Nothobranchius furzeri: one gene and its partner. The protein of the gene in region 1 binds, or shares a complex with, the protein of each later gene. Links are inferred from orthologs where the notes say so. Each region holds a gene or a part of one and is shown in the gene's direction. Other genes may lie near its edges.

Evidence for each region. Proteins that work in one complex are often made in the same cells at the same time.
Region 2: the proteins of malt1 (region 1) and bcl10 are in contact, whole or in part, in a cryo-EM structure (PDB 6GK2), measured with the Homo sapiens proteins. The link is inferred for Nothobranchius furzeri from reciprocal best matches to the Homo sapiens genes MALT1 and BCL10. Residues at the interface, in NP_006776.1 of Homo sapiens: Asp46, Gln47, Ala48, Pro49, Trp54, Arg55, Leu74, Glu75, Ser78, Leu79, Val81, Leu82, Glu83, Pro84, Glu85, Gly86, Pro88; in NP_003912.1 of Homo sapiens: Leu13, Lys17, Val83, Arg87, Asn93, Gln97, Thr100, Leu104, Arg107, Asn108, Leu111.

Annotation. Positions count from the first base shown.
Region 1 is NC_091757.1:57,789,086-57,793,599, reverse strand, and holds the end of malt1 (mucosa-associated lymphoid tissue lymphoma translocation protein 1), read left to right. Parts: coding exon 1-39; intron 40-119; coding exon 120-247; intron 248-630; coding exon 631-774; intron 775-1,776; coding exon 1,777-1,934; intron 1,935-2,038; coding exon 2,039-2,164; intron 2,165-2,432; coding exon 2,433-2,906; 3' UTR 2,907-3,095; downstream 3,096-4,514. UniProt on the Homo sapiens protein: Protease that enhances BCL10-induced activation: acts via formation of CBM complexes that channel adaptive and innate immune signaling downstream of CARD domain-containing proteins (CARD9, CARD11 and CARD14) to activate NF-kappa-B and MAP kinase p38 pathways which stimulate expression of genes encoding pro-inflammatory cytokines and chemokines.
Region 2 is NC_091751.1:48,595,985-48,601,434, forward strand, and holds the start of bcl10 (B-cell lymphoma/leukemia 10), read left to right. Parts: upstream 1-1,942; 5' UTR 1,943-2,366; coding exon 2,367-2,417; intron 2,418-2,768; coding exon 2,769-3,057; intron 3,058-3,376; coding exon 3,377-3,789; 3' UTR 3,790-5,450. UniProt on the Homo sapiens protein: Plays a key role in both adaptive and innate immune signaling by bridging CARD domain-containing proteins to immune activation.

The DNA of each region.
Region 1 (4,514 bases):
CCTGAGAGTCACAGCCAACATCGTCTTTGGATATGCAACGTGAGTCTGAGACAATCCAGTTCCTTCTGCGATTTTAGATTTCAGAATCGTAACGTGACGCATTTGTCTGTTTTGTTTAGGTGCCAAGATGCTGAGGCCTTTGAGCTGAGCTCCACGGGTTTCACCAACGGTGTGTTTGTCAAGTTTTTAAAGAAGCGGCTGATGGAGGATGAGAAGATCACTGTGCTGCTGGACAGAGTTGCTGAAGGTGAAGTATTATTAGTACTTTACTGTACTGCAACAGTCCCATTCCTCCTTATAAAAGGATACTGACAGCGACAGCAAAAGGGAGACTGAGGATGGTTTGTTTCTGAGTGGGAAGATGGAGGTGGCAGGCTATTGTACCTGTATGTATTTATTTATTTATTTATTTATTTTTAACCAGCCATGTCACAGGCACATGTTGGAAAAACCCATTTACTCTACGTATTTGTGCACGTTACCTGGACATATAAAAGTGGACACCTGTGGCTTGTAGACGAGTGTGGCCCAGATTATTTACAACTTTTTATCCATTTGAAAAGTAAGCAGGTTGCGGCTTTTATTCAGGTGCTTATTAATAATATCAATTCACGGTTTTCTCGTCTCCAGATATGGGCCAGTTTGATGCCACCAAGGGTAAACAGGCTCTGGAGATCCGCAGCAGTCTGGCAGAGCGGAGAGCGCTGACCGATCCTATTCTGCCCGGCGACAGCGCCGATCTCGCTCACAGCCGGCTGTGGGCCAAAGCTCACGGTACGCCCACTAGCAAACACACAGCATGACATAAAACATGCTAATCTTCAGTTCTCAGCGTCCGGAGGTTGAACACGTCTCGCTCAGCCAGATGTTGGCAGTTATCGATCTTTACAGGAAAGACACACGGCCATGGGAGTTTCCTTCAACAGCTCAACTGTTGCATGAAGCTTGTTAGATTAACATCATATTCTTAGAAATAGTTGCCTAAACAAATCTGTAAACCATGACTCAGCTACTCTTGGGTTTCAGCCAACCAGTCGCACAAAACTAAAGATACCGTATTTGCAGCTTTTCAGGAGTCTGAGGAGATAAACGTGTCAGTGATTCATATTAAAAACTAAATCTAAGTTTTTAGTGTTGAATTCACTCAACAGCCTAAATCTAAATTATTCCTTCAAAAGCGTATTTTTTTATTTTTGTGAAAGCAATTTTTCTCAAAACTATTGAGATTTTCTCCTTCCTGTGTTAGGTATTTTATTTATTTTTAAACATCTTTATTCGGTTTATATCATGTATTAAGTTGAAGATTTAAAAATGTATTAATTCCATTTCAAAGTAACTTTAAAATTAAATGTTGACATTTAAAACTTTAAATGTTGCTTTTTTGCAGTAAAGTCATTTTTCTGAAGGAAAAACTCGTCTCCTTTATTGAAACTCGGCTTGATATGTGGCTGTATTAGCTCCACTAAAAGAATACAGTTTGACTTGAACTATAATGATGTTTATGCGTTTTTATTTCCCAATAAAAAGTAGCCTTTGGAATCCCGGAAAATGAAAACTTGAAGTTTTCTTGTTAATTTTTTGGGGGAAACGAGTTTAAAAATCGATTTATTTGCGTGGCTTCTTGGTAGATTCTCAGATTTGATATTTTACGTGGTTTTGGTTTTTAGTATTAATTATGGATAATTTTCATTACAAATAAATAAAATATTTTCTTTAAACATGATTTGTTTTTAGCAACTAAAACCTGGTTCCCAAAGTGTTTGCTTGTTGTTCCAGAACTTCCTGAGACGATGAGTCTTCATTTTGACTGCGGGGCTCAGATCAAGCTGGGCTTCGCTGCGGAGTTCTCCAACGTTCTCGTCATTTACACTCACATCATTAAGAAGCCAGAGGACATGTCTTTCTGCCAGGCTCATGTCACGGACTTCTCACTGGTGATGTCGCACATTTTCATCTGACAGTTGTGATTTCTTGGTTTTTGTAAACGTTAAAGATCGATTAGGTTTTGAGGTTGAAAAGTGTCCCTGCTTGTTTTCAGGATCTAGATGTGGATCCTAAAGAGATGAACAGAGAGACTCCAGAGGAGACGGGGATCTACCTGCTGTCCAGCAGTCTGCCACAGCACTGTCTGTACACCAGACTCAGCTCGCTGCAGAAGCTCCGGGTACAAAGAACATAGACTGATCAATTGTGACACTAAGGCTTACTTATTAAAAACTACAACAGTATGCATTAGGGTTTGATATTCTGCAGTCTGATAAAGATGCTTATAGTTCATAACAGTTCTTTTTTCCACAACAACAACACCAGAAACCCATTTTTTAATCGTTTGTTACAATCCTCCTTTGCTCCAAGGTTCTCTTTTAGCTCTGGAAGCATCTGGGTTGTTTCTCTTACTGAAAACTATTTTCTCTCCTAATATAATGTAACAGGAGGAGCTGGTTTTCACCGTGTGCCTTCAGGGCACTTTTGCAGCCATGGATGACGATCATCCCGTATACTGGTCCAGAAGTGTCAACATAGGAAAGCCACTGATCGCTAGACTGGACCTCCACCGGGCCATGCGTCGGAACAGCTGCCTGCAGACCTGCCCGATGCCCCACAGCCCTTCCCAAAGCCCATGTCACAGCCCGGGGCCTGAACACCACCAGCATCTCCTTTACCACGGGTCACACCAGGGCCAGGCCTTGAACCGCCTCTCCCCACAGCACCACTTGGACATCTATGAGCATCCTCAGGGTGCTGTGGGGGGCTGTGCGTTTTCCCGCTATGACCACTTTAGCCAATATGGCTACGATGGAGCGTGTGAGCCCGAACTGAAACTCAGCATCCCAATAGAAGCGACTGAGGACATCACTGAGCTGCAGACTGTGTTCATCAAAAGCCTGCAGCTTCAGCCCCAGTGAAACATGAGCTTTAAACCTCTTAAATATTTGTAAAAATGCTGCTGCTCTTCACGTCACAGGATGGAAAAACATGTTGTACTCTCGATTTATTAAGCATTATTTGTCTTAAGCTGTTTGTTGAAGGTTTTTTTATCAATATATTTTTGGAGAGATTAATTTTAGTAAAATAAAACTGCTGTTGTAATTTTTTCTCAGCTTCCATTTTACTTGGGATAAAGTATGGTACATTAAGTTTAAAACTGCTGGACATGGATTTTTAAAAAATGTAGATTTATTGCAAAAAAATGCCACGAAATTATGTATAAAGAGTTTGGCGACATCTAGTGGCCATTTAACAGATTACATCCAACTTTGTATCTCAGGAAGTGCAGGATGGGACAAAGCATAAATCTGTTTTATATGAATTACTCTGATGTACAAATCTGAAAATTCCATTTGTAATCAAATAAGTAAATTATTTTTATTGCACCTTTCACGGAGAAAACACACAAAATGCTTCACTGAACAAAAGCTACACGATATGAAATATCACAATTTATGAGAAAGCAAAATTAATTCTTTTGTCATTTATGCTACAAAGATAACCGTTTTCACCCAGACTCAGACTTTCTGGGGTTTAAATTACAGCTCATGTGGAAAATAGTTGGTCTAATTTCAAAGATTCCAGTTGGCACCATTCATTCAAACTCACCAATCTGTACTTCAAGGGTTGTTTTCAGATGGGTTAGGGTTAGGTGAACAAAACTAGAAGACCAGCTGGTCTTTGCTAAAGAAAAAAGCACACAGATGAGTTAGAGGTTTATGTGTATTTTAACTGTATTGTTCTGCAAAGTTCTTCATTTCAAAGCTGAACATGAATCTCGGTCTTTTAATCCTTCTGAACAAGTGAAGAACCTGGGTGTGATTTTTGACTCTGAGCTGACTTTTATCCCACACATTTAAAGTTTCACCAAAATAGGTTTTTATCATCTAAAGAACATCGCCAGAGTCCGCCCCATTCTCTCTCGGGCCAATACGGAGACGCTGATGCTTTTATCACCAGTAGGATAGATCACTGCAACGCCCTGCTTTCTGGTCTTCCCAAAAAGAGCATCTCAGGCTTACAAATTCTACAACATCCGGCAGCACGTGTCCTGATGAAGACCAGGAGGCGGGAGCACATCACTCCGGTTTTAGAATTATTGCATTGGCTCCCCGTATGTTTCAGGATCCATTTTAAGGTTCTTCTAATGGTTTTAAGTGTCTTAATGGTTTTGGGCCTTCTTATCTATCAGAACTGTTTTTACAATATGAACCCTCGCGGCCTCTGCGCTCCTCTGGCAGGCGTCTCCTGGTCATCCCTAAAGTCAGGACACACACTCACGGCGAGGCGTCCTTCCAGTGTTATGGCCCTCACCTCTGGAACGAGCTGCCGGAGGACCTCAGGGCCGCAGAGAACATTCATGTTTTTAAGTCCAGACTCAAGACCCATCTTTTTAGGTTAGCTTTCATCTAAATATTTACTACAGTTTTATTTCTCGTTTTACATGATTGTATTTTATTACTTGCTTTGCATGTTCTATATGATTATATTTTAGCACAGTTTTATTATTTAATATTATTATTTTA
Region 2 (5,450 bases), on another chromosome or scaffold:
GCTCAGACCCTTCTGTTAATATATATATATATATATATATATATATATATATATATATATATATATATATAAAAGGAAAGCTACATATTTCTGTTTGTTTAGACTGCTGCATGCGATGGGCTTTTGTGTCATTCAGCAAATTCCAGTGAGCCACCTGCCAGGGTGTGGGTGGATTAGAATCTGCATTAGTGCTTCAGACTTTCAAAGTGAAGACAAGAACTCGAGGGAATGTTTGAACCTGAGAAATCCAGATTAAAGGAGGACATTCAATCCAGTAAAATGTTGCCTGGAGCCACACCCTCTCCGTAGTGAACTTCACAGGTTTCAATTCAATTAAAGGATCAGCATCAAAGAAAATGATCAACTAAAGCAGGAATTTTTGTCTCAAACGTCGGTTACAAAAGTCCTTCAGAGTCTGTGCCAGCCCAAACACATAAAGGGCGAACAAGCGTGAACTCGGTGAACCAATTATGTCTGCAAATCGCTGACTGTAGTGGTTTGGAAGGGAAACGTTTCCCACCAAAAGATGTTATGTTAGAAAATTTCAGAAGCACGTAAATTGAGTGGAATGTTGGACATGAGACAGGCAGATGAAACATTTCAATTCAATGTGAAGGTTTGCTGCAGGGCCACAAAGACACCTGGATTATATGAGCCTTCCTGGAATAATTAAAATGTCTCACCTGAGATGTGCTGAGGAGCCATTTACATGAAAATCATGGAGGGGAAAGGCAAAAGAGGAAGTTTAAACCACATTTTTGCTGTTTTGCATAAAGTGCATGTGAACTCCGTGACACACACGGGGGTGTTAAAAACAGCCAAAAGCTGTAAGGTGGGTGGACAGGAGGGTAAAAATGGCAAGATTATGCAAAATTGTGGTTTCAGAAAGTTAGAAGACGTGATTCTCAGTAGTAGCAAGCTTTTTGTTGCTGGTATAGGATGCATTGTGCCACAGGTGTAAAACAAAATTATCTCATGGCTCTTTGTGCATCTTTTCTACCCTCCTGTTCTCTTACATTTTGCACAAATATTTTAAAATGTCATGAACGTTGTAGTAAAGAACAGACCATGTGCTGTTTTTTATATAAAAGTTCTTTTATTAAGAAAACAATTCACGTCCAGTCTGACCTTTGAAACTCCTGACATCTAAAGAGCATCTTCCAGCAACATCTTTCCTCCTGAAATCAGGAGTATGAGAGCAGTTATTGGTCATCCCTTCAATTTTCGCATTGTTGTATAAAACTATCAAAAGGGAGACAGACGGCCATCCGTCTGCTTTTCATTTGGATGAAAAACCTCTCCTTGGAAAACTAAAGTGTCATTTCTGTCTAGTTTTGTTTAAGATGTTGTCTTCTGTTAATTAAACATGTGGAAAAAGAAAATAAACTGCAATCATTGATGCTGATGAAGAAAAACTGACAGCAGATTGATTTCTGTTTTTCAAGTGATTGATTCATCACACTGAAGAGCAAATGGACAAAAATGTAGAAAGTTGTGGTATATTCTGAATATATACTGTCCAAAGGAGGTGAACTGAAGATGCTGGGGACAGACCAGTAACAATTTCTGGTTTGAAATTCCTAGAAAAAGGATTAGGCTGCTTTTATCTAAAATCACAAGCCTATAGCAGTAGCAAAAATATTTTGCCCTTTGCGTATATATTTACCCATGCAGGATGGCTTGCAAGGCTACCAAATCACGTCTACTACAAACACTCATCATTTCCAGTAGGAACAGGAGTGTTAACCTTTCACTGTGTCATATCCAAACCTAAAGAAATAATATTCTCTGGCGTAATATACTATCCCTATTATTCCAGATAAACTAACTGTAAGGGGAATGGGTTGTGGTAAAAGTACCTTTCTGTTATGATAGTTTTTCTGGGATTTTACCTGTCTGCGGTCCAACAGCACCCCCTCGTGGAGCTGGTTAGAACTACGCGTCACCTTTGAAACTTTCTAAAGCGAAACTTCTCTGTCAGCAGCAGAAAGCAAAGAAAGGTGCTACCCTTTCAATTAAAATAGGCCAATTATACGTCATTTATATTACACTTAATATGCTTTGTTAGAATTTACCGAGAAAAAGTCAGATTTTAGTGAGAGCGGCTTTGTTGTGTGAGCACTCCTCTCTTCTGTCGTTGACGTAGTTAAACATCGACACAATCAGGAAGTCCGGGGCTTTTTTAAAAATGCATTTTCCGTGATTAAGAGAAGGAGACAATAGATGTGTCAACTTTTAACAACGAATTATGAAACATCCCTATCTTTAACGCTTACGGGAGACTTTTTATGACGTTTGTTGAACTGTTTTTCGTTTAAAACGGATTAAAACCGTCATAATTCACCCGGAACACCTGGATTTGAGAGATGGATGCTGCTCAGCTTACTGAAGATGAAATGGCAGAGATTAAAAAAGACGTGAGTATGATCATTCAGACAGCAGCTGGCTCTGAGTCTGGATGAGTTTGATAAAGAGGTGGGGACGGTTTCGATAAGAACGTGATTCTGTGCGCCATGATCCGAGTCAGAGGCCTGTTAAAGGGGGAAATATCTCACCGCACCCTCTGAACCCACAAAAACAATAAATCCTACCAATAACAGCAGAAATGCGGCTTTAGCCACGTTGTAAGTTAAATTAAATAGGCTGTTTTGTTAAAATTGAATGTATGCTCGATATCTATTGTTCTGAAGTAAAAAAAATAAAACATGGAGTGTTGTCCACCTGCTTTTTGGCTTCAAATATTCGCTTTTCGTCCCTTTCATCTGCAGGTGCTGACCAGACTGCGGCACTACCTCTGCGATAAGATCCGAGCTGACCGCCACCTGGACTACCTGCGTTCTCGAAGGATCCTTACGCGAGACGACGCAGAGGAAATCAGCTGTAGGACCACACAGACCAAGAGGACTGCAACGCTGCTGGACATCCTGGCTGAGAACCCACGAGGTCTGGACGCCCTGATCGACTCCATCCGAGAGATGCGAGCACAAAACTTTATCATTGCCAAGATCACGGATGAAGTGCAAAAGGCCAAAAATGAGAAGATAGAGTCACTCAGAGGTTAGTAAGCCTTGCTAAGTGAAGATCAAACCTGCAACATCTTGTAAAAATCATTGTTTCAAAGTTTTTATGGTGCCCAAACCAAAAATATCTGCTTTCTGACTAAACTGCGGGGTGTCAGACAAGGAAGGGGGAGGTCCCCATCAGGGATTGTGAGATGCTTTTTATTGTTTCACTACTGTTGCAGTTCTGACTTGGTTCATAGTTTGTTGGCCCTCTGGGACCCCATTGAGGCCTTGGGGCCCCAAGCAATTGCCTGCCCTGCCTGTTGGCATCTAGCGCCTCTGGTAGTAATGTCTCATGTCCTTCTGCCTCTCAGCTGCAGGAAAATCCAGCTCATCGTGCGGCAGCGCCTTCAACTCCCCGAGCTCCAGCAGCGATCTCCCCAACACATTTTCCAACAACTCCACCATCCTCTTCCACCCAGATGGAGAGCAAAGCTCCTCCACCTCTGACGTGGCAGAGTCACTCAATATGCCATCGATACGGAAATGTGGAAACCTGCCCTCTGTGTCCGGGGCCAGCATCGGAATCGCTTCCTCCACAACCTCCTCCAGCCTCCCGAAGCCGGGAGACCCCGGAGCTCCTCCTCTGCCGGACGAGGTTGTGCTGGAATCTCCTTCCAACATAGACGCAGCAACGCCGGGGTGCACGAGCAGCGGCGGAGATCCGAATTTCCAACCGTTGCGATCACGCTCGCTCACCCCAACATCACACAGAAGCGTCTTTTGAGCCATGCTTTGAAACTTTTGATGGATTCCACTAACGGAGCGCTTCTTAAACACTGGCCTCATGTAGCTCTAACATAGTACAAACCACTATACTAGCCAACGTTCTTAGGACAAAAAGGGCATAATTTTCCATTTTAACGGGTATTTTGGTTATTTTCAAGTGTTTGTGTGAAATGTTTTAATAATTATCATCATAGATCTTAGAAAGTGTCCCGATCAGCCTCTGTTTGGAGAAATAGCTTTTAATTGTTTACTCGAGTTAACGGCTTGTTGGACAACAACCAAGATCAAAGTGAACGGCTGCCTTCTTAAAACAGCTCCCAAACTTTATCGTTTTCATAATCTTCAACAAGCCTGTGTTACTTTTTGTATCTACACAGAAATCTCTGGATCAATAGCCGTGTTCCCTCTATCAGAGTCCTTCAAATTTTCTGGGAGGGGGAATTTGACTGGGATATAGGCTGGCTCGGTCCTCTCTGCTGTTGGCCCTTTCAGGATTTCGCAACCGTTTCGTCAGTGGGTGATGTCACTGATCAGCACCAAAAGGTGTCCACGGACAATAAGAATAATAAATTACGAATTTTATTGTGCCAAAGTACCCTGTAGATTGTGTCATTCAGTTATCAGAAGAAACAGTTTTTTGCATTGCACTGTTAAACCACAAAGCGCCGTGAATTACGTTGTTCGGGGGATTTTCATCACTTTTTTCAGTGTTAAGACTTTAGAAACAACGTTTATAAAGCGGTGTGAATGTTGTTTACTATTTTCCTTTTCATCTGCTTCACCAGCAAATCTTGCTTTTATAAATTCCGGTTGTTTTGGCGACGTGTGCAGATGTCATTTCCTACTCCAATCAGCTTGAGATAACCACAAGCCCCGTTCAGCGAACCTTCAGGCCTATACAAGTACATACCCCAGTTCAGATACTCCGTTTGTTACAAGCATGAATAGTACCAGCACCAGCAAAAGGTAGCACTTCTGAGGCAGTCGGTGAAGTTTGGCTGGAATTTTTTTTAATTTTATTTTAGTTTTTTCAAAAATAACCATAACACAAAATTGATAGAACTAGCCAACAGAATCTATTTCTTCAAACAAAGCTCATTAAGGAAGCTTTCTACCGGAAGTGAGATGGTAATTATTTATGCAAAAACACAATTAAAAAGGGCCAAATTATCCCCATTTGATGTCTTTTGAAATTGGTGCCAACTTGTTACGTTGTTTTTATTTAGAGCAAAAATAATACTTTGGTCTTTAAAAACCATAAATATGTATTTTTTTACCTTTCAGTGTAAGCAGATGTGCAGAAACTGGGCCTGAATAAAGTAACTATGTAAAAAGAATATTTTATAGACATTATGTCATGAAGAGTATCAGTATGATCATTTTTAGTTTCATTTAACGGCGTGTTGTAAGTTTGGACATTCTGATATCACCTCAGACTAGTTCTGCTTTTTACTTCTCTAACTAAACGTGTGATTTCTTCATGAATCGTTGGACTGTTGGGTGATAACCGCTACGGTTTAGTCGTAGTTTTCACACTGGAACGACCGAATTAGTTCTGTACCAGACTCCAAACTGTTTTTGTGTTTTGTTTTTTATTGCATTACAGTAAGTGAACAAGACATTGCCTCCCACTTTTTCACTACAAGTTTTGAATCACAG